Linked DNA regions of Schizosaccharomyces pombe. The main gene of each other region encodes a partner of the protein of the gene in region 2 in a complex. Each region holds a gene or a part of one and is shown on either strand. Other genes may lie near its edges.

The links.
Region 1: raf2 (region 2) and cul4 share a complex: the UniProt entries of both Schizosaccharomyces pombe proteins name them as parts of the clr4 methyltransferase complex.

Annotation. Positions count from the first base shown.
Region 1 is NC_003424.3:3,447,460-3,461,113, reverse strand, and holds cul4 (CLRC complex subunit, cullin 4), read right to left. Parts: upstream 8,170-13,654; 5' UTR 8,059-8,169; coding exon 5,854-8,058; 3' UTR 5,367-5,853; downstream 1-5,366. Other genes in the region: nde1 (NADH dehydrogenase), read right to left, coding at 2,186-3,841; dpe1 (dipeptidyl peptidase), read right to left, coding at 11,521-12,750; SPOM_SPAC3A11.11C (pyridoxal reductase), read right to left, coding at 13,602-13,654. UniProt on the Schizosaccharomyces pombe protein: Required, indirectly, for activation of ribonucleotide reductase through the degradation of the protein spd1, thereby supplying deoxyribonucleotides for DNA replication and repair. Also has a role as a scaffold for assembling ubiquitin ligases.
Region 2 is NC_003421.2:498,206-511,103, reverse strand, and holds raf2 (CLRC ubiquitin ligase complex subunit Raf2), read right to left. Parts: upstream 10,340-12,898; 5' UTR 10,246-10,339; coding exon 8,335-10,245; 3' UTR 8,224-8,334; downstream 1-8,223. Other genes in the region: cbr1 (cytochrome b5 reductase), read left to right, coding at 1-669; protein kinase activator Mob2, read right to left, coding at 1,796-2,168, 2,234-2,327, 2,784-3,051; rpl3601 (60S ribosomal protein L36), read left to right, coding at 4,229-4,450, 4,612-4,689; erv29 (cargo receptor protein), read left to right, coding at 6,579-7,487; kcs1 (inositol polyphosphate kinase), read left to right, coding at 11,338-12,898. UniProt on the Schizosaccharomyces pombe protein: Component of the Clr4 methyltransferase complex (ClrC) which contributes to the establishment of heterochromatin by specifically methylating histone H3 to form H3K9me.

The DNA.
Region 1 (13,654 bases), on a different chromosome or scaffold from region 2:
TTTTAGAACAAGAGGATGACGACGTCTCCAATAAATCCCTCCCTCACGCTCAGCAAAGCATCATCCGTTCGTTTCCTGATATTCAAAAGCAGCCGAAAGGATTCTTTTCCTATCCTTCTTCAACTGTCAGCAGCATTGCACCTTCGACTTTAGAAGCAGGTAACTTACATTCGCAACAACCTCCAAAATTTTCCGTTGATTCTTCTGTCGATGATAATGCTATTACCCCTAGAAAGCCCTTTTCGAAGATTCCTAATCGCCTTTCCCCTTCCACTCAGCCGTTACTGTCAAACAGTAGACATAGTTCGTTTAGATTGGCTTCCAGTTCAACTTCATTTCCCGCTAGTTTGGAAATGAATGTTGACATTGACCTTGAGCCTAGTGGTTACTTTTTCTATCGCCATAATAATTATATTATATCTGATTCTTCTAACACTCGTGAAGTTCTTCGTCGATACAGTGATTTCTTTTGGTAAGCTCTCCGAATTGTTTGGATATCTTTTCCATACAGTTATTTTCCTTTTCTCTTTCTTTCTTCTAACTAGTTCGAAAGGCTACATTCTTACTTGATGAAAAAATATCCTTTTAGAAGAGTACCATTAATACGTAAGAGTTTTTTTAGTTTTTTTTTTTTTTTCAATTTACGGCTTTTAACTTACTAATTCTTTTAGCGCTAAAGAAATTTCACTGTATGCATAGTTAATCATCCTTTTCAATCCCAACAATGCTAATATATGTCAGTTGCGAAGCGAAATGCTTCAACTCAAAACAGTTTTTTAGAACACCGCCGCCAGGATTGTCCGACTTTGTAAATGACTTATCTCATCATCCTATTTTCTCCAATGATGAGGTTGTCCGAGTATTTTTTACAGAGCCAAATGTAAGTTTTATTCCTTATAGATTTAACTAATTGCTCTCATGAATTTAGGTCTTCAAAAATTGGAGAAGGGAAAATCAGAAAAGAATTGACCAAGAAATTGAACAATTCCTAGTGGTACCTCAAAGTCAAGTTCCCGATGCCTCAGAAACGGTTAAAGAAAGGCTTTTAAAATTGAATATGTCTACTACTACGGCGATAAATAACCAGCTCAACATCTTCAGGATCTTTGAGAAAATGATTTTTACGTTACAGCATTTTCATGAAGATTTTCTGAGACTGCAAAATTCTTTCAAGTAAGTATTCAAGTTGGTCACGTTTTGCTAATCCTTTTCTTAGTTGCTTACTTGATAGTGGATTGTACCATCAAGTGTTTACTTCTACGTTTGCTCAAAATGAAAGCAAAATTATGTCAATGGCAAGTGGTCACTTTTATAACATTGATTCTCTCCTGCATCAACAAAACGACGCTGTCAAACATACATTTTTACTTGGCCTATCAAAGGAAATTAAAATTCTAATATCACTGCGAGTAAGTAGTATAATCATTATTTTTTTTCTAATACCTTAGCTTTTAATTGAAAGAATATCGGAAGTATTTTCTACCGATTTAACGAAAGTACGGCATACAATATCGAATGATGAGAATTTACTTCGTGAAACAGCAAATAGCGACGAAAGTGGAAGAAATCGAACATTTTTGAACCGAAGTTCTAAGAAGAGAGCTGAAAATAGTCTTAAAAGTGTATGCATGAATCAATATACTTTTCACTTTGGAATTTGTTTTAACGAATATTTAGAAGAAAGAGCTTTACTTGAAAAATTTAAATCAAAGGTACCAAATAGCACATGAACTCGAACAGGAACTTTCCTATTTGCAAGACTATGTATTTAGTCTGGGAAATCCTTATGTTGAATATTGCAAACAGCATGTTAAACTCGAAGAGGAGAGTCTAAAAATATGGCATACATTGGAAAGTGATTTTTCTCGGCTTGAAACTTGATTATAAAATTGTTTGCTAATTGCGTTATGTTTATCTAGAACATATTTAGATAATACGTATGTAGAGAACATTTAATTTAAAGGTAATATTGCACGATGCTTAAATTATGTACACGTGCCAGAATCTACTACAAAACAACTATAAATATACTCTTAAACTTGAATGTTTACGAACGAATAACAATCAATTAATCGGTATGTAAGGAAAACCAAATTTTTCGGTAAACCCAATGAATAAAGCAAGACAACAAATATCATGCATTAATCAAACAGGCGAATCACAAAAATGTCTCATCAAATCCAATTTAAAGGGAAGAAATATCACGTCCAAATAACTTAACTCTAATCCAATCTAGTGTAACATTGGTACGGTTACGCAAGGAGTATAATTCAGAAAGGTAAACCGAACGCCAGAAGTAGAAGGCAAGAGCACCGCTTGCATGGAGTTGTTTTCCAAACCAGGGAACTTCAATATCGGCAATAGCTTTCTCATGACCGACATAGGCGAGAGAACCTTGGTGAGAGTATTTGAAGGGAAGGAAGACCTTGGTAGAGGCATGCTTCTCATTTGCTAAAGAGATAAGTGTGCTGGAATCCATTTCATCACCGAGGGCAATGTGTCTATCTTCGCTAGGCTTCTCAAAGTTCAACGATCCAAGTTTGTTAAAAAGTTGACCGAGGTAGGCACCTTGCTGTGAAGCCACTTGAGCAGTGGGAGCATAAGCGGTGTGAGTGCAATCACCTAGAGCGAAAATGTCCTTGTAACCCTTCAATTTTAAGTATTCATCGACTACTAAACCACGTCTGTTATTTTGCTCTTCACTACCCTCCATGAGCTTTTTGGTAAGAGGGCGGGCACGGTTACCACCAGCCCAGACCAATAATCCGTAAGGGATAACCTCTTCTTGCTTACTTCCATCAGGGTTTTTAACTTCAACATGGATATTTTCAGCAGTGACCTTTTTTAGGGCAGTATTAGTTCTGATCTTAATATGGCTGCTGTCAAATAAGCTTTGGGTATAATCACGTAACTTGGCGCTAAACATGGGCAAAACAGAAGGTAAAGCTTCGACAAGAGTAACGGCAAAGTCATCAGCAAGTTCAGGATACCAGGATTTCAGATCATCTTCAATGAAATCAGCCATTTCACCGGCAAATTCCATACCAGTAGGACCACCGCCAACTACGACAGTATGTACATATCTGCGACGAGTTTCAGCAGGAAGATCCTTAAACTGTGCTTGTTCGAGGCAATGAAGGATACGAGCGCGAATCTTTTGGGCATCCCAAATTTCCTTCAAGAAACAGCCATACTCGGCGATACCGGGAATGTTGAAGGTTTGTGTTTCAGCACCGTGAGAGCAAACAAGATAATCATACTTGATTTCCTGCTCTAAATCGACTCCATCAGTGGTGGTTTTCTTGATATGGATGACCTTTTTGTCGGCATCGACGTCTGTACATTCAGCCTCGTAAAATTTAACATAGCAGGACTTATGACGGAGCATATAACGAATGGGCTGTACAATGCTTCGAGTATGAACGGAACCAGTGGCAGTAGAAGGCAAAAGAGAAGTGAACAAGAAATAGTTTCTAGGGGAAACAACGATAACGTTAAAGAGAGAAGTATCAATAGTACGAAGAATAGAAGTGGCACCCCAACCAGCACCAAGGACGACCAAAGTCTTTTTGGAAGGATCGGGCAAAGGTTGATGAGGATCAGGATGACGGAAACGGTAGACATTGGCACCATAAAGAACAACAGCCGTAGCGAAAAGACCTAATGTAGTACGTTTCAGGATCTTCCACTTACTTGTGGTGCTCTTGGGAGAAGAAGCAGCATCGGAAGCAAAGCGCACGCTGTTTGCAAGGCGAAGATTGCGAGAAGCCGATAAAGCTAAGGGAGATTTTGGAATGCCAGCCTTTGGCATTCCTCGGAGAATAGACCGAGAAAAAAGCATACTAACAAGCAACTACTAGAAAACTTCGAGAGAAACAAAAAAAGATGCTAACTTATTATGTGATAAAAATACACAAAGAAGAGGGGAGAGAGAGGGGGGTAATAAGTTATCCACAAACACAATCAAGGAAAGTTAAAAAAATTGTGGATATCAACTGTTTGCTTGAAAAGCCTTAAGAGGGGAGATTTTTAAAAGATGAAGAAATGGGTCTTTATTTTAACAACAAAGAAAATATATCAGGGGTAAAATAATATTCGGTCAGTTGAAGAAATGGATAGGATCAACAGAGGCCGCAAAGACTGAATAATTAAGTTGAGTTGGGAGGGGGTGGTTAAAGTGACTCCGAAGAGAAGCAAACTACAAAGAAAAAGAAAAAAAAATATAATAAACCAAGTACAACACTTACGGCGTACTCAGCTATGTAAGTGTGCTCCTTTTATACACTCGACGATTGCGCAGATAAGCGTCGATTTAATAAAACGTATTTTCCAAAGGCTGATATGATATCCTTGTAGGTAATCAATCAGTACAGCCAAATGGTAAAAAATGAGCGGTAGGTGTAATGGTAGTTGTCAAAGTCGGACAGGGTATTTTAACGACAATTTAATACACGAGCGAGACTATTTTGATAAATTGTACGGGCGGATCCGTTTGCGGACTTTTAATGATGACTCCCGTAACGCTGACGACATGTATCTGCACAGCGATTCATGGCCCGCCTCTGTGAAAGAGGGAGCGACCATTCAGCGATTCCAGCCGCGTCCGCTACAACATACCGGACATTGTTGTTTCTTGACTTCGATTAGCAATGTAAATAAATAGAGACGCTCAAAAACACCTACAAAACCGATAGTTTCAAAAACTCATATACAGTTGCTTCACCTCAAAAAAGGTTCTACCTTTAGTCATGGTCACAGGGGATTGTGGGGTGCAACTTTTTCACAAACTCTATGCATGCGCAGCGGCGTAACCGAAAATTCCCTCATTGCATCTAGAGGAGCCATGTCATTATAAAGAGACGTATAACGTGATCTAACACCAAGCTCGCAAAATCTGACAGCAAAAAATACCAACCGCGTTATCTAATAATACAGTAATACACTTTAGACAACGTTAATGAAGACAGGACGCGCGCGCATCGCTTTTGATTTGTGTTTAGTCTGTTAGAAGCATGCTGGGGTAGATGTGTAGGTGAGAAGCTAGGTTATATAATCAAAGAAGATCAAGCAAACTAGAATCAATGGTAAATTCCTTCTCGTTTTAACTATGTCACTCCATTCTTATGAGGGAATTCGTGACGGACAAAACAGAAGATACCGTTTATTTGCTTTCACCTAGAACTGATCAAGAAGCTTAGAGAATCAATAACGCTAAATGTCCCAATTTCCTACGCCAAATACTTCAACTTATTCAATTTATTGCTTACATAGGAGTGTTTTGATGTTGGTTCTGAATACATCCAAACAAACACGTGTTTCAGCTACATCTACATCAAGTAACACACACATCACTGTCACTTAGAGATGTAAATAATGAATAATATAAGAGGTGTTTATGGGCAGGAAAACCAAAATAGAATACCTTGGGCTTTACAAAATTAATTAGATTTATTAAATTTTTACTTTAGATTTTGTAAATAAAGGTGTTCTATAAGTGTGATAAGCAGCACCACATTCCATCCATGTTAATCCTTACATTGGAAAATGCGGTACTTAGCGCGAACACTTTCGTAGAAGGCAAAAATGCAAGGTACAATTTTAGAATGAACTTTGGAATTGTTCCTTTTCCAAACTGATTGGAGAGCAGTGCAGACTTCCTTGAATTGGTTTCCAGATTTCAATAGCATTACTTGACACGGACAGGTAAAGAGGTGTGTGTATGAACGACATATGAGAATAGAGAAAAAAAATCCACTGGAGATTCACCAGCAAATAACAAAAAGGATGGAAAAAGAATAAACATATAACCAGAAAAATTAAATTAAATCAATTAAAAAACAAATGCATACTCTATTAGGTGACATATGTATAAATATCATTATCCTCGCGTTCTAGATACTCTTTCTCTAGTAGTTTTTCAATGGCAGTTTTCACATCAGACACCAAGGGTATTCCCCGATCCTTAACATTGTTTATAACGTATTGAACTAAATCGTCATGCTTCATTTTTTCCTTTTGTTTCATTACTCGAACGATACTGGCTTGCAACTCAAACTGTCGATCTCTCACTACTTGTTCTTGAACATCAGAATTTTCTTGCCGCTCTTCCTTTAAATAAATTTGGTTAATTTTTACACGATATAACTTATCTGTAAACTTTTCATTAACATAAAACATGGTGTCTGGACTGGGTTTTTTGCTTTTGGGAACCATCACTAATGGCCGAATGCGAGCACAACTCAAGGACTGTAATGTACGAGTCAAATCGATATCAGAGAGCTCTGTAGATTTTTTCAAATCTTGATACGAAATCCCTTCTCCACCCAAACAATTGTTGAATTGAAGTAAGACACAGGCTTGGAAAAGCGATATACTTAGTTCCTTATTGCCCAGTGGAAATCGGGCTTTTACGATGCAATGTCCTAGCGAAGCGTACCAACTGATTTTTTTCCCAACCTGCTTTGAAAGGTAAAATTTTTCAAAACAATCCAAATCCTGTTGCATATCATCTGGAAGCCGGATATGTGATTCTGGATAAGAGGGCCAGTAAGCTTGGGACAAGACGTTAACATACAAATCTCTATGAAGGTTATGAGCAGCCTTTGAGTGACGAAAAGAAGAAGTAAATTCTTTTGAAATGTTAACGTCTCGAAACATACCCTCCAAAGAGTGAGTAAACTGACTACCGCAGGTTTTCTTAAGCATATCCAGAAGCATTAATTCATTTTGCGCACTTGCAGATTTATTAAGGAGAAGCCGTTTTGCAATGTCCAGCTTGTAATACGCCTCAAAGATATCTTTACTAGCGATGTAGCGGAAAAGATCCAAAATTTCCGAAAATACTTCTTTCAGAGGCTTACCCCCTGAAGCCTGTTCGCCAACTCGTAGCAAATAATCAATGTATTTTGCAATAAGCCTAGCTGGAGCTTCTCTTTGAGATCCCTTTGCCCCATTAATGAACGTCTCGAAGGCTTTTCGCATGGCATACGAAAGGGTTTCATCATGAAGGAAACTTTCATCCACCACGACTTGTAAGAATTTGTGGAACGATAACAGCTCTTGAACCAAAGTATCATCCTTTGATTCATCGTTAACGAGCTTGAAACCAACGTCCACTAAGCAATCCGACCAGGGCTGAATTAAATATTCGGTTTCATGATTGAATTGCAGTAATGCATACAGTAGTTTACAAGAATGGGCATCCCTTTTTTCAATGAACTGACTTATACCCTTTGTGAGTGTGTCAAGATGTGAAGTAATTAGACACCTTTGAACAGTCTCTCGAATGGACTTTTTATCGCGCACAATATCAAACTTTTCAACGTAGGCATCCTCCCGCTCAAGCGAACTCATCGCATATTCCAAGTACTCTTCCAAAGGCAGCTCTTGAATTTTTTGGCTAGACTCCGTATCATAAAAACGGCTTAGCATAACTAAGTACATGGGAACAAACACAGAGCTATACATTTCCGTGCGATGTAGCATTAACATCGCATCCTGTAAATAGGCGTGATCAGTGCTTTTAGAGCTATGTAAATTTTCAAAGCTTTGGAGAAGAGAGTTCAAAAAGGGAATTTGTATGTTTTTGACTGCCATCAACTTTTCACGAAAAAGTGACAGAGACAGCTCTTCGATTGTCGGGTAATCTGGATGGTGAGAAAGAAATGTTTTGTCCATGTAATAGAATATGTTTTGAACAATCTCGACTCTTTCCAACCATTTGTTCCAACACCCTACTACTACGGTGCATGCATTAGTGTCTGTTTCAGTCCCTTCAAGCTGTATAAAAGACTCCGCAGAATCCTTTAAAAGCTGGATTCCTGAAGACATATGATGTTGTAGGATGTTAAAGCACCGAGATGCTTGATCCGCTCTTGTTAAATTTTCGACTCCCGAATATAACTCTTGGTAACCTGTTTTTAAGCCTAAACCGGCCATCACTACTTGCAAAGCCATGTTCAAACGATCTATCATCGTCACATAGTAGGTCTCTTGTCTTTGCCTCGACTTTCGTGGGTCAAAGCCTTTAACCACGATACGTTTTGCTTCTGGAGGCATAGGTGTGCTAATGTGAAATAAAAAGTAATAAATAGATGTGTGGAAAGCCTGAGCTCTTTCACTACTATAGTTTCACCTGCAAAAACCAATTTTGTGCTCAAGTAGTGACGTTCAGAAAAGTCGGTTTAGAGCAGCACATATAGACAAGGTACGAAGTTCCTATTTCACTTTCAAGCTATTTTTTTGTGTCCATCTCACTAAATAAGCCTTTTTTTTCACTTTAGAAATTCTTCAGTTTTTTAGAGATTTTCAAGCTGCGACTCATTGCAATTAGCTAACTATTGTTTTCCATGTTTATCCTCCACTATCCACAACGAACGCCAGTTGTTGAAACAATTGGGTGCTTGAGTAAACTATTAGCTTCTCTATAGTTTCTATAAAGTTTTTTATTTGTCTTTTTGTTTATATAGGTTTGAAATTACAAGGTCAGGTTGACTTGGAAAGAGAATGGCATGGAGTCAAGTCGAGATTTCCAAACCACATCTAGCATATGCTATTATAGGAGGATTTACTTCATTATTTATGTTATGTTCTTTAATTATTAAGGAAAAGCTTTTTTTGGGCGAAGCAAGTAAGTTATTAGTGGTTGCAAAGCACAATTGTTTGATTTGCGTGTTGAAACGATACTTGAATTGTTTGATTTAGCTGGTAGTAATTCCAGATTATTCTTTCGGTTTACGTTCGTTAAATAAAGAGCGATCTCTAGATATTTCAGTGTGCATATTCCACCATATTATTTTTACTCTTCAATTCTTCATATATGTGAAGCATACTAACTTAATATAGCTATGGCAACTGCTACGGGTCTCATTTTTGGTCCTTACGTTGCAAAACTGTTTGTTCCCACCAGCTGGGGTAATACCGACTACATCACCGAGGAACTTGCTCGAGTCCTTTTAGTTGTCGAAGTTTTTGCAGCTGGCGCTGAACTTCCAAGAGCATATATGCTTCGACATTGGCGCAGTATGTTTGTTATGCTTTTGCCTGTTATGATTTTTGGATGGCTAGTAAGTACTGGCTTCATGTATGCTTTAATTCCCAGACTCTCTTTTCTGGAGTCATTAGCTATAGCGGCATGTATTACTGCGACAGATCCAGTGTTGGCTTCTTCTATTGTCGGTAAAGGTAAATTTGCACGTCGAGTCCCAGGTCATCTTAGGAACATGCTTTTGGCCGAATCTGGATGTAATGATGGCATGGCAATTCCTTTTCTGTATTTAGCTATTTATTTAATTATTGAGAAACCTGCCCGACATGCTGGCCGCGATTGGGTATGTATCATTATTTTATACGAATGCACCTTTGGCTGTGTGCTAGGTGCAATAATAGGTGTAATAGCCCGTAAGATGATTAAATTTTCGGAACGTCGAGGATTAATGGATCGTGAAAGTTTTCTTGTATTCTACTTCGTTTTAGCACTATTTTGTGGTGGTATTGGTACCATCATTGGTGTCGATGATTTGTTAGTTTCTTTTTGTGCTGGTGCTGCTTTCTCTTGGGACTCATGGTTTTCGAAAAAAACAGAAGAATCTCATGTTTCCAACGTTATCGACCTTCTTCTCAATCTTTCCTTTTTTGTATACGTGGGTGCTATCATGCCCTGGCCTCAATTTCACATGCCACATATGGATTTGAGTGTATGGCGACTCGTTGTATTGGCTATATGTATTTTAATTGCAAGGAGAATTCCTGCCGTTTTATTATTTAAATCATTTGTTCCTGATATTATCAATTGGCGAGAAGCTCTCTTTGCTGGTCATTTTGGTCCTATTGGTGTAGGTGCACTGTATACTTGTTTGGTTGCACGAGCCGAATTAGAAGTACATAGCACTGTACCTGAGCCTAATGATGCTATCGAAAACCCTGAAATTCCAAACTGGTATTGCATACAAGTAATGTGGCCAGTAGTTTGTTTCCTGGTTCTAAGTTCTATCATTGTTCATGGAAGCAGTATTGCATTTTTCATGCTTGGTAAAAGGATTAATACGTTGGCTTTGTCGTTTACGAGAACAAGGGACTCTCATTTTGCTTTTAACTTACCTCGTGTTCGTCAAGGACAAAGCTTACCAATTAAAAGAGTTGATGCGTTGCGCTCCTCTGCCAACTCTATTGCTTCTTCCATAAGAAGGCGTCATCCTGTAAACATTCAAGAAGATGAGGATGCTGATATATCAACTGTCTCGCTTCCTGAAGCCGCACATCTACGGGAAGAACGTGCTGAATCACCACGCGGAGGCCACTATGACGCTGAAGAATTTCCTTCTGAAGACTATGAATCTCGGCAACCTCGCCGCTCGAATGAGGAAGATAGAGAAGAAGAAATGAATCCTGGTGACGAGACATATCTTATTGGCGAAGACTTGGTCGTTGAAGATTCTCAAGGAAACATTATTTCGCATACCAGTTCTCGAGATGCAAATGGACCTTCAATTGATGAAAAACTCGCTCAAGGGGATCCGAAGGCAAAAAGTTTTGGTCGCAAGTTTCGCAGTTTCTTACGACGTTCCTATGATACTTTTCAACGTAATTTACATGAGCCGGACGACGAAAGACAAAGGGAACCCACTCTTGGACATATTGAGAGTTCTATTGAGAATCATAGGCCTAGATACTCAAGGCAAAATTCGGAATCTCATTTGCGTGAAAATAGTGTAGAACGCCGTCGTCGTGAACAAGTTCTTACTAATATTGGGGACAGTGAAAGTGAGGATGATAACATACCCAGGCCTGGTATAGTTCCATTTTACAACGAGAACAATGAAAGCAGTAGTGATACGAGAAATGGACTCTTATCTGACAATGTTTCCGAATCGCGCAGTCGTCGACCATCGCGTGCTCCTTCTGCCGCAGTTAGCAGTGAGGGTTCTCCGGTTGAAGAAGATAATGAAGCTCAGCATAGGCCAAATATTCGATTTTTGGAACTTACCCGTGCCTGGGAATAATAACCGTAGGAGGTCACATTCTTCATATCGAAGGGGATCGTTTAATGCTTATTCATAACTGATTTTCAAAAGTGTGTTATTTTTTATTTATTAAAAAAATATGTTTGCTAATGCAGTGGTTTCTTTTATTTATTTGATGATTGAAGGGTCTATGGGTGCTGTTAAAATCAAATTTCATCAGTCTTTTATCGAGTTTTTCTATGTCTCGCATTTGCCAATTAATGAACACATATCGGATAACTAACTCTCCTTTTTCTTTTTTATATTATTGGACACATGCGTAAAAATTATACTGTGGAAAATAATCTCAAAGCAAACAAAAATTTATTACATTAACTAAGAGAGCTAGTTAACTAATAGTAAAATAATCGATCCATCAAGGGGCATAAAAGAGTAAGCAATAGGCATGGTTTGTCGTTAATCGTAAGAAATTCATAACCGGCAAAATGGAATAATACAGTAAATTTTTCCAAAAATAAAATAAAGAGGTAGAGGTAGACTTATTAATAAACGATTAAGTTTAAAAGTCGTCTTCCCACTCCAAAGGTGGCTCATGAATTGAATGCCCGAGATCTTCAGTGGTCTTCCAAACACGAAGCACATTACGGCCTGCAATATCTGCTAATTCAGTGATACTGAGACCACGCTCAGCCAATTTAACAAAAAGATCAGGATACTTGGAAACATCCTCGAGTCCCTTGGGCACCATATCAATTCCATCGAAATCACCACCCAAGCCAATATGACGATACGATCCAGTTACATTGGCAATATGCATTATATGCTCAACGACGGTATCAATTGTAGCATTTTCAGGGTGTGGACTAATGAATGCAGGGTAAAAATTCACCATAACAACGCCATCAGTTTCCTTGACGCGAATCAGAACATCGTCAGGAACATTTCTGGGATGATCATAAACCCCTTTAGCGGAACTATGTGAGAAAAATGCGGGAGCAACTGATACATCTAAGGCTTGATGCATGGTCTCAGGTGTGGTGTGTGAAAGATCTACAATCATACCAAGACGATTCATTTCACGGACAATATCGCGGCCCGCAGGAGACAATCCTTTGTTAGTACGCTTTCCGTCAACCGCAGCATCGGCGAATACGTTGTCACAATTGTGCGCAAGAGTAGCATAGCGAACGCCAAGATCGTAGAATTGGCGTAAAATGGATGGGCTTCCTGCAATCTGGTGAAGACCTTCAATGCCCATCATACTTGAAATGTGATTGCGTAAAAAGTCGAATTTGACCTTACCGCTATGATCAGTCAAAGAGAATGTTTTAGGGTAGTATAGAGCCATCCTTTTAACAACATCGATTTGTTGAAGAGTCTGTGTAACAGCTTCATATTCACCTGTGCGATTCCACGAAAGAGAACTATTGGAATCCAAGCTAGGACATTCGACAAATACAGACCAGAATTGACCCCCTACATGTCCTTGACGAAGACGAAAAATGTCAGTTTGTCCAGGAAGGTGCTCAAGCGAAATATTTAGAAGGCGATTATCATAATTTTCACGAAGATATATTGGAAGATCATTATGCCCATCAATTAAAGGAAAATGAGTTAGTACAAAGTGAGCCTTTCGTTCAGGAGTCCAAATCCATTTGCCTTTGCCTAAATAGCCAACCGCACTCAGAATCAAAGCCGCAATTAAAAGATGAACCTTTAAAATTCGTCTTCTACGAGGTTTTTGTTGGTTTACAGGTAATGGAAGCTCCAATTTGCTATCGGAAACCATCTTGTTCAAAAATGATTACTTGTGCGGCAATTGTTAAGATGTGTGGAAATGTCACGTCGGTTATATATGCTGGGTCTCGATGAAGGCGCAGGATGTTTAATATAATATTTCACCGTCAATTACCAAAAAATTCAATTGTTAAACTAATAATTAGCAAAACTTGGCAGAGATTGAATGTCTAATTTGCTAGTGCTAATGTCACTTTAAATGAGCTTATCTGATGTTGTTATACAAACCCTTCGCTAAGAGCAAGACTACATAGCTAGATCTTAAAAAATTAATCTGTTTATTAAAACGATGTTTACTATGCTATTAAAAAAATAAAACCTCAGTATAGAGTAAAAATGGATATATCATTTCTAAACAAAAGTCGGTATAGCGTTATATACAGAAAAACAAGATGTGATATAAGAAAAGGAAATTTTTTAATAAGACATACATAGAAAGAGAAATTTCGAAATTTGGAATGAGTGTTGCGAGTCAACAATCCCAATTAAATTGAAATGTAGTAAGAAATTTGCAAGAGAACGAAAATGTTGAAGTTTAAAAGAAAAAGAAACGCTTTTGTTTGCAAGTTATGACACTAATAGAAAATGAAAGGATCGTTGACAGTAGTTAAAACGGCGTATCCACCAACAGTTACTCTTCAGTTCTTCTCATTAAATGAAGCACATCCGGGCACATTCCCGTTTTATAAGTATAGAAGAACAAATCTCTCTTTCAATATCATCTCACAAACTTTTGTTGCTCTTTGCATCATATGAAACAAGCAAAATTTACTAATATCTTCACAAACCTAACAAAACCTGAGCAAAGCAGCAGTGGCTATGTGCTGTTTATGGTTTTAACTTTCAACACATACTAGAACAGCCTCCTGTCACTTGAGGTTCTGAATTAGGAGACG
Region 2 (12,898 bases):
CGTTTCCGTCTGCCTCGCGCTAACGATGTTCTTGGTCTCCCCATAGGACAACATTTAAAGGTCTTTGTTGATGTTGATGGTAAGGAGTATTCCAGATCTTACACTCCTCTGTCTTCCGATGCTGACAAAGGTTATTTTGATTTGCTCGTAAAGTCTTACCCCAATGGCAAAGTGAGTAAGAAGTTTTCTGAACTTAAGATTGGTGATACCATCGGTGTTCGTGGCCCTAAGGGAAATTGGAAGCATCGCACTGGCCTCGCGCGCCATTTTGGCATGATCGCAGGCGGAACAGGTATTACTCCTATGCTTCAAATCATTCGTGCTGTTCTTTCTAATTTTGAAGATCCAACGGAAATCACTCTTTTATATGCTAATGTATCAGAGGGTGATATTGTTCTTCGTGATGAGATTGACGCACTTGCTAAGAAGGATCCTCGTTTTACCGTTCATTATGTTTTGAACAATCCTCCTGAAAACTGGAAGGGAAGTGTTGGATTTGTTACTCAAGAACTTATCAAGGCGCATTTCCCTGCTCCTTCTCCTGAAACCAAAGTTCTTATTTGTGGCCCTACTCCCATGGTTAATTCACTCAGAGAAGCTACAGTTGCATTGGGATATGAAAAGTCCCGAGCCATTTCGAAGCTTGAGGATCAAGTATTTGTCTTTTAGATTTTAATTTTGATTATTTCCCTTCCCTCGTTTCAATAATGTTCTTCGTTTTATGTTGCCAATCGACTCACTCTACTGCAATTTATCTTACTACACGGCACATGTTTTAAGTAGTTAATTATTTGACGTGACTATATGTTTACGAATAAGCTAGAGACTTTTTTATCTGCTTGGATTGAAGTTAGCAATGATACGTACACAGTCTAGTCTAGTGAAGGATCAAGCCAATGCAATCTTAAAAGAGAAATAAACAAAATTTACATTGAGATTTATTTCAGTTTAAAGGATATCCATTAGTATGCCCAAAAATTGAATTATCGTAAAGTATAAAAAGAGAGTCAGACCATAACTCGATCCTTTGAGAATGTAACGTTCAATTTAGGAAATAATTATAATCACTGTTCGTCCACAAACAATTTTTTGAATTATTTATCAGTAAGCCCAATAACCCAACAAAAGACTGAAGGGAAAAATTAAAAGTGTCGAATTTGGAAACGTCTTCAGTTCATTTGAGTAAATTGCTGCTATAAAAAAAGTGGACATTAAAACAAAAACAAATTTCAGTTGTAACAAGTTTTACTTTTTTTTAATTTGCTTATCGGTCAAGTCCAAGGTTAAGAAGGGGAGCAAGGCTGTGGACTTTAAAAAAAGAAGTTGATGGTTAGATATAGGAAAGGAGAGCATTAGCGGATTATTTTTGTTGAGAAGGATAAGATCTCTTATAATTATCAAGGAATAATGTGGAATGAGTCACATAAAATGCAAGATATAGTTAAGAAACTAAACGGACGTTGAAGATAATTTCTAAGGAATACGGCCAAAGTCTGTTTAAAAATTCCCGTGAAATCAGTGAATGCAAGCGAATATGCCAAGAGTCCAAAAGGAATAGGATGTAAAAATAAAGAAAATGGCATCAAGAAATACAAATAGTAATTAGCTAATGAAGGTGGTAACGAAAAACGAACAAAAGGAAGTGTAGGAATTTAGCATATAACTTACTGCCTGTGTAGCAGAGAGAGGATTCGAGGGAAGAGGGTATTTGTGGGAAGAGGGGGTAAAGGAAAGGACGAAAACAAAAGAGATAAATGGTAGAAAACAGAAGTGTGTCCTGCCTTCGGCAAGAATATTAAATATTTCCTTGATTTTCTAAGACAACAATAAGATCTTTTAACGGAGCAGTGTCACGTTTATCCAACAGTTGAAACTCTTTACCAAAAGCAATAAAGTGAGCAAAGAATGAATTCCAGTGGGCTTCTAAAGAGAGATGAAGGATTTCTGCATAATGAGCATAATACATATGGGCAAAAATGCGAAACATTTGTTTATATATGGCTTTAACAATAACAAGAAAATTTGAAGGAAATGGCAAGCCTGCCTTTGTAGGAAAGACGTTTTGATCATGCAATCTATTTTCAATCCAAGCGAGTACGTATTCAATATATTGGGGAGCGGGTAAATGGACGGGTTTACGGTTGTTATCCAACCAAGTATAGTCGAAACTATAATAAAAGAGTAAGTTAGTAAAGGTAGAGGTGAGAAAATAATTAACTAGAGAATCACATACTTGGCTGCAGCACTCATAACAGGACAAGTCTTTACAGTGCAAAATGTAGCAAACACGTCGTAAAAATGATTGAGGTAAGTAAACAACTCGTAGACTAAAATGAAAAGAGTTAGAAAATATATAAAGAAACAAAAAAAAACGTGAAGAAAAGCAAAGAGTTGTAACGGTTAGCACAAGACAAGTTGTTGACAGAACGGATTACGTATCCGGAAAAAAAGAAGAAATTTTTGTTGAACGATGAAAAAACAAAAATAATAATAATAATAAAAAGATTGAAATTTATGGTTTTTAAAATTTGAAGCTAGATTCCTGGGTTTCTAATTATCTCAAAGTATAATTTCCTAGTACCATCGAACGTTCACTTCAATTTCCTCCTATTCATGTCATGCAATTCAAAGAAACCTAGCAAAGTAATCCGTCAAGAATCTTCCCTCAAAGGAAAATGATGATAAAGACAGTGCTTTGGTCAAATTTAAAAACACTTGTCCAGTAACCAATACCTCCATCATTCTTCTGCTGACGCGAAACTGCAAAAAACAAAGCAACATACCATTTAAAGCAACCCATTCATCTAGGTCCACGAACCTTGGCAAAGAAACGATCGTGGAAAAATTACCCTTTACCAAATGAGTCCGAACAAATGGCTGCTGCAAATACAAAGCTGTAGGCTCTACACTCGGCGACCCCGTACGCACCAATTGCGATGTAGAACTTTTCTTGGAGAAAGAACCAGAAGAGCTACTTGCATCTGAAAGGTTTTGATGCCTTTTGGATCGATTCCCTCGAGTAATCCTACTTAATGAATTTAACAGAAACATGGCAAAGGACAGGTTATACAAAGGCCCACGCTTTGTGTTGGCTGACCCCTATAACGAGTTACTCCACTCTAGATAACGTTATGTAAGCCAATAATAAAGTTGATCCCTTCAAAAACGATATTGTTTAATATCGAACGTGTTAAGCTTCCGTATATCCGGTTTAGTAACGAGTTTCAAGAGCGGTAAATGTCAAGCAGTAAAGGGTTCCCGACTAATATAGTAAGGATCTCTCGGATGTGAAATAAGGAACGCTAGGAGCTATCGATGTCACTTGCTAGTGAAATTTTCATAACAAGAGGAGTCTTCCTTCTGATGATGGGAATGTTACTTTCCAGCGAATTCGTCTGAGGGTTCTGTAAATATTTGGTTGGGACTGGTTATCCATTATCTCATACACCACCGATGTTGCTGAAACGGAGAACTCGTTTTCTCACCGTCAGGGATTTACAAGATGAGTACGATCATGGCACAATTAGCACCCATAACGTCTATCTCTGAAAATCGCCATTCTTGAGATCATAGACAGCAAAACGATGAAAGAAAGACAATACCTCTTCTAAAGAAAAGATATTACGAGATGCGGTGGAATGCGTTATCAGTCATTTCTAAATACGGTAGAAAATGCGGGAATTGAAGGAGCGTGGATACTGTGATATTTCGGGATGCTCAAGGATTTGTATGACTGCTGTTTCATTGCTGCTTATAAAATACATTACTAATCAATTTGAGTGCAAGGGATTACCCATGTTCTTGTCTGTAGCCTTTCGTCTGCTGCGTACGAGGGCATGGCATTGCTGGGAGACTGAATGACATACATTTACTCGTAGGGGCAACTCTAATTTCAAAAAAAACGAACCGTTCGTTATAATTTATGGCATAATACGTTTTATTATGTAGTGTTTCAGTACTATGTAATAACCGTTCTCGACTTTACCCTTTGAAACCCGCAGATGGAAGCAATTTCCATTGTTTACAATACAATGAGAACCTGTAGTATTGCCTCCTTTACTTACGCTAAAAATTGATAAGCCATACAGAGGTAGGAATCGTTATTTCGTGCGATTTTTTTGGTTAAAGGGATGTAGGTTAGGGTTGAGTTTTGTGACCGTTATTTTCGTTAAGGGCAGTGATAGTCTGTACTATAGCGCAGTAAGTTTTCCCCTACACCAATCTCACAATGGCACCTGGTCTGGTTGTTGGTTTAAACAAAGGAAAGGTTTTGACCAAGCGTCAACTTCCTGAGCGTCCTTCTCGCCGTAAGGGACAATTGTCCAAGCGTACTTCTTTTGTCCGTTCTATCGTTCGTGAGGTTGCTGGATTCGCTCCCTATGAGCGTCGTGTCATGGAATTGATCCGTAACTCCCAAGACAAGCGTGCCCGCAAATTGGCCAAGAAGAGGGTATGTAAAATTTTGTTCTGTTACTGTACATGCTCGTAGAGAGCTTCAAAGCTTAGTATACTCAAATTCACTTGTGGTATTTTGAGACTCGGAGCTATGAATACTGTAATGGGATATTATGTTTTGTTATTGAATTTATTCTTATTCTAACAACTTTTTAGCTCGGTACCCTTAAGCGTGCCAAGGGAAAGATTGAAGAGCTTACCTCTGTCATCCAAAGCTCTCGTTTGGCTCACTAAAAAATCCCTGTTTATGTTTTGTAATAAATAAAAAGGATTTCATGCTATGACAACAATTGTAAAAAGGTCGTGTGTAGTTGAAAATTAGCTAGGTAGTTGGTGAAAGAGTAGAAAACTCAGCTGTGATAAGTTAGTCTACAGTGGGTAAGTAATTCAATAGTGTGCGAATGGAATTGAAGAGTAAGAATGGTTCTTTCATGCATGTACATGTTAAATTTAATGTTCTTTGATATTCAAAGAAACATTTGGTTTAACATGTAGTGTCTCATCAAATATGGATGTGGCAAGATTTGCTTCAACTAAAATATGCAATATCGAAAACATAGTTTTCCTTCTGGAATTTCGAGACACAGGATTGTTATTGTGCTTTTCAAAAAAGTGCCGAGAGATTGCGAGTAAGTAGTTGAAGTAAAGTCATCATACTGAAGAGAAAAACCATAGATATGTTTTATTAAAACATCCAATTAGTCGTCAAATCATCAGTTATTCAGCATATGTTGAAAAGTAGGCATAGAGTCGGGCGAAGCAACGAAAATTCGTAAGGATGTGAAAATAAATTTTAATTATATTTTCCCAAGAAATATGTAATTTTCTCTTTCTGCTTTCGTCTTTTTTTTTTTATTTCAGCTATATGCTACTAAACAATTTTTGTAACGAAAAGACTTCGCTTCGGTAACTTTACACTTTATTGCTAATGTGCATTTGCTCAAATCACACTTCCAGCAATTGTACTACATTGTCACATATAATGAAGTTTTTTTTTAAGAAGATGAACCATTAATTTAAATACAAGACGAATTCATAAATTTTTTTATCTTTTTTTTTTTTATGTGTGAAAATTGCTACTCCGGCGGGTTCAGTCGGCTTTTCTAAATGCCTTAAAATAAAAATAAAAGTGCACTTATAATTGTTATGATTATTTAATAATACAATATCCCGCCAAAAAAAATAAGAAAAAAATAAAAATAAAATAAATTTAATAATAAGCTAATATTCACATTGATGTTGCTATAAAGGATTTACCAAAATTTCCACGGATAATAAGTTTGTTTTCGCCGTCAAATGACTATATTGAGATTTGAACTTAACTCACGTATTTGACCTATATACGATACCCTTCTTTAAAATTTTGTTTGTATAAAGTTTTTACAAATGTTCATTACAACGACTCTTGCTAAGAAAGTAATAGCTTTTGTAATGTCAAGTGTAAATATCACACACATAAAACTTAACTTCCACTAAATTCATTTAATTATGACACTAACTTGAAAGTATTCATTTGTGATATGGAAATGGGGCCTTTTATTAATTTATTTTTGCTTTTCATCAATAAATGTGATCAATTAACGACTCATGTTAATTTTCAAACTACATCCGAACGCCATCCAAATATAGTTTCTAAAATTTAAACCTATATTTTCAAGCTTTAAAAATCATTACAAAGCAGCTTTCATAAGTCTTTGGCTCTCCTAAATATCCCATTCTTTAACTCACTGCAAGAGGTAATAATTTCTTAGACTACACTAAACCAATTTGCGCTTAATAGCGAGCCTTAAAATAAAAAATCAGTGTAGAGGTTGAAGAATATTCAGGAATCTCAATAAAAATAAAAAAAATAAGGATCATAGAATTATTTAAATTATCCCAAATTCATCAAATTGTAATGCTGTCCTTTTAGGAAATTCTGGTTTGCCCTGGATGACGACTGCATGCCAACAGGCCATAAGGAGCAACAAAGGAAGAGACAAACTTGCGCTTCTCCATACAAGAGGTTGAATTGAGGAAACTGGAAGTTGGCCTTATCAAGTTATTTCTAAGAGATATTTGAAGTTTAAGGATTAAATATTTATAGACACCAAAAAAACCCCGAATTAATACGAGCTGAAAAGATGACTTCACGTTCGCCGTTTTCGACAATCCCGCTTTCTATGAACCAGGATTCATATCAAACAAGGACTACTGTGGGTATCAGAAAAAAGACATTTTCAGAGCGAGCATGTCAGTTTATGGAGCAAGCTGAAACGTTCATGGCACCATTTACTCCGTATATGCCGCTCTTGGGTCGATTCCTAATTGTCGCTACTTATTTCGAAGACGCTATTCGGATCGTTACTCAATGGCCTGAACAAGTATCTTATATGCGGGACTACCGCAGATTTCGTTTTGGGACTGCTCCGTTGCTGCTGTTTGTTTGTGTTGTACTGATGTTGGTTGGTTCGACATTGGTCGTGTTTAAAAAGCGTCAGGCATATGCCATCGGCTCTCTTTTGTTTGTTACACTTTTACAAGCGTTTGCATATGGGCTCATCACCAGTGGTGAAATGTTCTTTCGTAACATGAGCGTGATCGGTGGATTATGCCTTGTTGCCAGTGACACCTTTATTCATCGTCGTATCAATAGATTTGCAGGTTTACCGGCCGTCTCCGAACACAATAAACGTACTTATTTCCAACTAGCTGGGCGTGTTCTTTTGATCTTTATGTTTTTGGGTCTTTTGGCTAAGGAAGGAAGTGGGATTTCTTGGACTCGAATTCTAGTTCATATTTTGTCTGTTACAGCCTGTGCCATGGTGGTCATTGGTTTTAAGGCTAAATTCTTCGCTGCAGTCCTCGTTCTTATTCTATCTGTTGCCAATTTCATTATCAACAGCTTCTGGTCGGTTCCTCGTGAAAGTCCCTATCGTGACTTTTATCGTTACGACTTTTTCCAAACCTTGTCTATTGTTGGTGGTCTCCTATATCTCGTCAACACTGGACCGGGCAAGTTTTCCGTTGATGAAAAGAAAAAGATTTATTAAGCCAAAATACTGCGTGTTTCTTAAAAAAAAATGAAAATGTTGTTTTATTTTTTAATTTTTTTATGATTTGATTTAATTTGTCAACCTTGTCCTTTTATATCATAAAATCCTTATTTTACAGGTACTTTTCTTTCACAGGATCTTGCCTATTTGTACATTCCTTTGTTTACTTTGGCTCCATTCTTGTATTAGAGTTGAAATTACACTTTCTTCTATCTATGAGTGGGATCGAATTTAGGATATTATCCTATCACATTAATTTTTTTATGTCAAAGAAGTGAGCCTCATCATACTCATGTTTGCTCCTACTGATTCATGATTAGATGATTCTATTTACGTTTACAAAACCAAAAAGATGGGTAATCGTCGCGTATGGTCCGTATTTTCTGGAACAATTTTTTAATAGTATTGCTCTTTTCTAAAATAAATACTCGTTTTTTGCTCGTTTTCCTTACGCATGAACATTTAGTAGTTCTTGGCGTTTACATTCCTCTGTTTTTATTTTATCGCTTGGTCTCAGTTATTATCAAAAATGGGTTCTGGTATTTTGAACGGCCATTAACTTTACAATTGTAAAGGGTTGGTGTTTGATTTTGTTTGATCGTCCTATATTACATTTGACAAATAATTCAGCTATTTGTACACTTTAATAGGCACATTTATAAGCGTATCAAATTGTTGTTACAAAATGTGTTTTTGAAATTGTTTATGAACACATGATATTTGTAAAGTAAAGTGTATTTGACATTAGCCATGTAAAATTGTAATCCTTTATAAACATACTATATATTAACTTTAATGCAGTGTGTCTTTTGTTAATTACTAGTAAAAATCATCATATCTATCATTAATTTATGTTGTACATTATGTGTTCAAGTTTATTTGTAAACGATCGGACACTGTTCGAAGGAGTTTTAAATATAAACTTGGAATCTACATGTCCTAAAAGATGATCGTAAATGACCTGAGAAGGTTTATACGGGTTGTCACAAACAGCAAAATACAAACAATTTTGTACTGGACATGACCAAATACCAGTCTGTAAATCCGGACTAACTTTTAAAGCCTCAACTTTCTCCAAGTTATATGAATATAATCCAGTGTCTTGTTTAAAATCTGTTTCCTTTTTGGATAAGCAGGAAGATGCGGAAGCTAAATCGAGCAGTTTTGTAGGTCTATACGGTAAAGTCGACCTCGTTGACCTATTACAAGGGAATAAATTTGTTCGATCCAGCCATACCTGATCGCATAAATTTGGAGTTGATGAATATACTTTGGGATATTTGTTGCGAAGTAATTTCAATAATTCATCATAGAAGCTGAATGCAGGCCAATAACCAAAAGAAATAGAAAAAAGTTTAACAAAGTCAGGAAGAACTGTAACAAAATTTTTTTCAAAAATTTCCTCCGTAAAACTGAAAGCGACAGCTGAGTGATTAATGTATTGTTCATATGTATAATCTGAGCCAGAAAGGCCTGATCCAATATCAAATAACAAGAAATGAAATAATATCTTGGCCGCCAATTGAGCATTTGAGAAATCTAGTTTCATGCATATTAGAGTCCTCAAGAGATGTAGACTTGTTTTTTCTCCATTGTTACAATGCATGAATAAATAATCATAACAATATCCACGGAATTGAGATCGTGCTTGTTGAACAGAAGATCTAAAACCAATTGCGTGCTTAATATCATTAAAAAGCTTAGTACCTCTCCACGTGAAAGCAGTATGCATAATTTGCAAAAGGGTTTCGCCGTGGGAAGAAAGTTTATTCAAAGCTTCCAAATTTGTTATTTGTAGCTGTTGAGCAATAACGCTGCAAACTTCTTGAAGGCTAATATAACGTTGATGCTTCGGAGAGGTTGAAACTTGTATTCTTTTCCATAATGATATCGATTCAATATTTGGATCAACAATCCTTAAACCGGAAAGCCAAATATCATTCAAAGGAAACCGTAATGGAGAAGTTCTTTTTACAACTCCTAGTTGTGGTGTTGCTGTGGGAGAGGAAATGCTAAACGGTTGCTCGGGTAAATTAATTAAAGTAAGAGCTTGGTTTAAAGAGCTTTTCATAGTAGTATTATTGTCCGATGGATTGTTTGACGATAACTTTGATTTCTTTCGCTCTTGACGAGCATTGTAAATGTTTTTATTAATTTGTAAAATCAGATGTTCGTATGAAGATCGAATTCTTATAAAAAAAGGTGATTCAGACCATACATGTAATGAAGAAGTCGCAACCATTTGGGTTAACAGAAAGCGAATATGTTTTTGCACTAAGAGAATTGCTTGAAAACAAGAAGGAAGCTCTAGCTTTTCCTTTAAAACTTCGATATAATTATCGTAATCTTCTAACGTACCAGATATCATATCATCTTTGAATTTTGTCTTAATAAGGTAAAACAATCGATTCTTCTCGCTGATCTGTTCGTAAATGGCTTTATACTCAGAAGAAGGAGACAAAATTCCGTATCTTCTTTGAGGTGTAACGATCCATATGCTCATAGTTTCTTTCTCAGGAACGTCTTTTAGATTGTATGTCCAAACAGGCGATATTTTTATCGAGTATCCCAGAACAATGCTCTCATCAAACAATGGTTCTTGCTCATCCTTTTCAGAAGATAAAATTCCTGTTAATGAATAAGGGCCATATTCTAGAACGTCCTCTAAATCTACTAATTCCCCTGCTTTATTTGTAACGCAAACTTGTTCAATCAAATCAGTTTTCCGCTTTTTTTCAGCACGTACGGGCGGCATCGCTAGCTTTTTCCTTTTCCCCAAAAACAATACTCTTCGAAGTAATATTGCCTATTACTATAGACGGCATATTTTTGAGGTAAACATTGGTGTTAAATTTCTGATCTCTGCTTCTGAAATTTAAGAGAAGGGTATCCATTGTACTGCACAAATATATAATTAACGTCTAGTGCGTTATACTTACGATACGTTAACAATCACTATACCTATAATTGTGTTTTACCAACATTTCTTTCGGCCGTGAACATACGTTGCTTCTAAAGTACTTATTCTTTAATTAGAAAAATATTGATGAAGTTTGATTTGTACTCCTCAGCTGATTGTAAACTATTTTAGTGCACATATAATACTATACGATATCTCTTAATATTTTGATATATTTATTATTGTATAGAAAACAGAATTTTATTTAACATTATTTTTTATATTAGGAAAACCCACCGCAGTTCTAAAGTATCATTAAGTGTTTTAATGATTGCATAGCTGACACAATGCGTAATTTAATGACAGATACGGTGTATTATTATGTGGATCTTTAGAGTAGAATAATTGTAAGCTACGCAGTTTGGTATCTGATTTAAGGATACGTAGAACTGCGGTGAGTTTTCCTTGTGATCTATTATATTACAATACGCAGGTTGTATAAGTAGCAACTGAGTATAGGTATTGTATTAACTGGGTTATAATGTTACCTATCACTAATATAGCTCATAACTGAACCTCGTTCCTCAGTTCAGTTGTAACGCTATTTATAATATTTCTAAATAGTTGTTATCAACGGGTATCTACGTATATAGACGGATAGTTACCCGTGATTATCAATAAACGGATCTTAGCTAGTATTCCAACATATGACATATAGTGATACGCAACGTAGTGTATCATAGCGTAGTGTAGTATTGCTGACAATAATGAATTTAAGTAGTTTCACTATACGCCTCATTATACTGTAAGCTAGAGCAAAGTAAGAAACTTGCCAAGAACCAAAGCGGGTCTCTGCGAAAGGTAAACTAATAAAAATCGGACAAATTGGAGGAATTGAAGGGGAATTAAGGAAAAATATTAATTTAATAGAGATAAACTTATGAATTTATGCAGAACGCACCAAAGTGTTACCTGCCGAATTCACGTAAAGGCAGAGACGTGAATTTTCATGATCGAGGTCCTGAAACGTTAAAATGCTTGTACGATGAATCAGAAGATAACAATAATTTTACTATGCATTCTGAATCCATAGGTCCTAAGTCATTAGACAGTTTATCGCCTAGAAGGCTAAGTAACTATTCATCTGCTGTAGACCCTCGAACTACGAGCTTGGAAGATGTCCCTCGCTTAATTTTAACAAGAAGTAATTCACAAGAACAAACCCCTTTGAGAACACACACCCCTGTTGAATATATGAGTGATTCAATTCACAAGAGTCTAGCTGACTTGCAATTAGGTGGTTCCTCTTATTCAGTTGCTGAATCACCAGTACCGGTGCTGCAGTCTTCAGCCGTTTCTGAAGCTGATGATATGGCAAGTGCTCATTCTGCTCATCCGTCTCGAAAGGCAAGCAGGTCATTACGTCTCTTTGAGTCTTCTACCTCCAATAACTTAGAAACCGGTAACAGTACTAATACTGCTTTGCACAACGTGTCGAGTCCTCTTGAATCTGTTTCTGAAAGGCTCTCCAAATCTGGATCACCAAGTGTTGGTGCTCAGCATGATTTAGATGAAGTTATTTCCGAAAAAGATACATCACTAAGTCGAAGATCATCTCGTGGTCGGAGCTCAGCTCCTAAACGAAGAAAAGATAGTGGTAGTTCTAAAACCACAGCCACCTACATACCACATAATCCTTCTAAAAAGTCATCTCAACACCTCCCTTTACTACCTGATGCTTCGTTTGAGCTTGAAAGGTCGGTATCCCGTTCTTATCAAAGTCCTGCATCCACCCCGCGATCATCTGTATCATCTGTCTCATCATCTCCTCCTGAAGACCATCCTTTTTTCCATTGGAATGTTGATTATCCGGTTACTGTACGATTGGAACCCTTCAAACATCAAGTCGGTGGACATACGGCTTTCTTCCGGTTTTCTAAAAGAGCCGTTTGCAAACCACTTACAAGAAATGAAAATACGTTTTATGAAACTATTGAAGCTTGCCATCCAGAATTGCTTCCCTTTATCCCAAAGTATATTGGTGTTTTAAATGTGACTCATACTATTACTAAAACAGAAGAAAACGATTCTACTACGGAATATGTCAATACAGAATCATCGTCTAAAACACCTGCCCCCCATAAACACACATTTAACAGCTGTTATCAGAAAAAAGACTATGGATACATTCCAGAGGTTAGTGTTGAGCAAAACCGTCATATTTTTCCTGAATGGATGCTTCCCGACAAAAGATCTCATTCTTATGGAAGCCCCAAATCTTTACACCATAAATCATCTTCAGCCGGAGAACGGCCAGTATCTCCTACTTTCGTGGCTGATATACCGCCCAAAACTCCATGGGGAACCACATTAATTAACAGAAAACTGCGAGAGGAAGTTCTACGAGAAGTTTTTGCTCCCAAGCATGCAAGACGTCGACTTGGAACTCGTTTCCATTCAAGGAGTTCCCATCGACCTTCTGTTTTTCGTGATAATTCGGTTGCTTTTG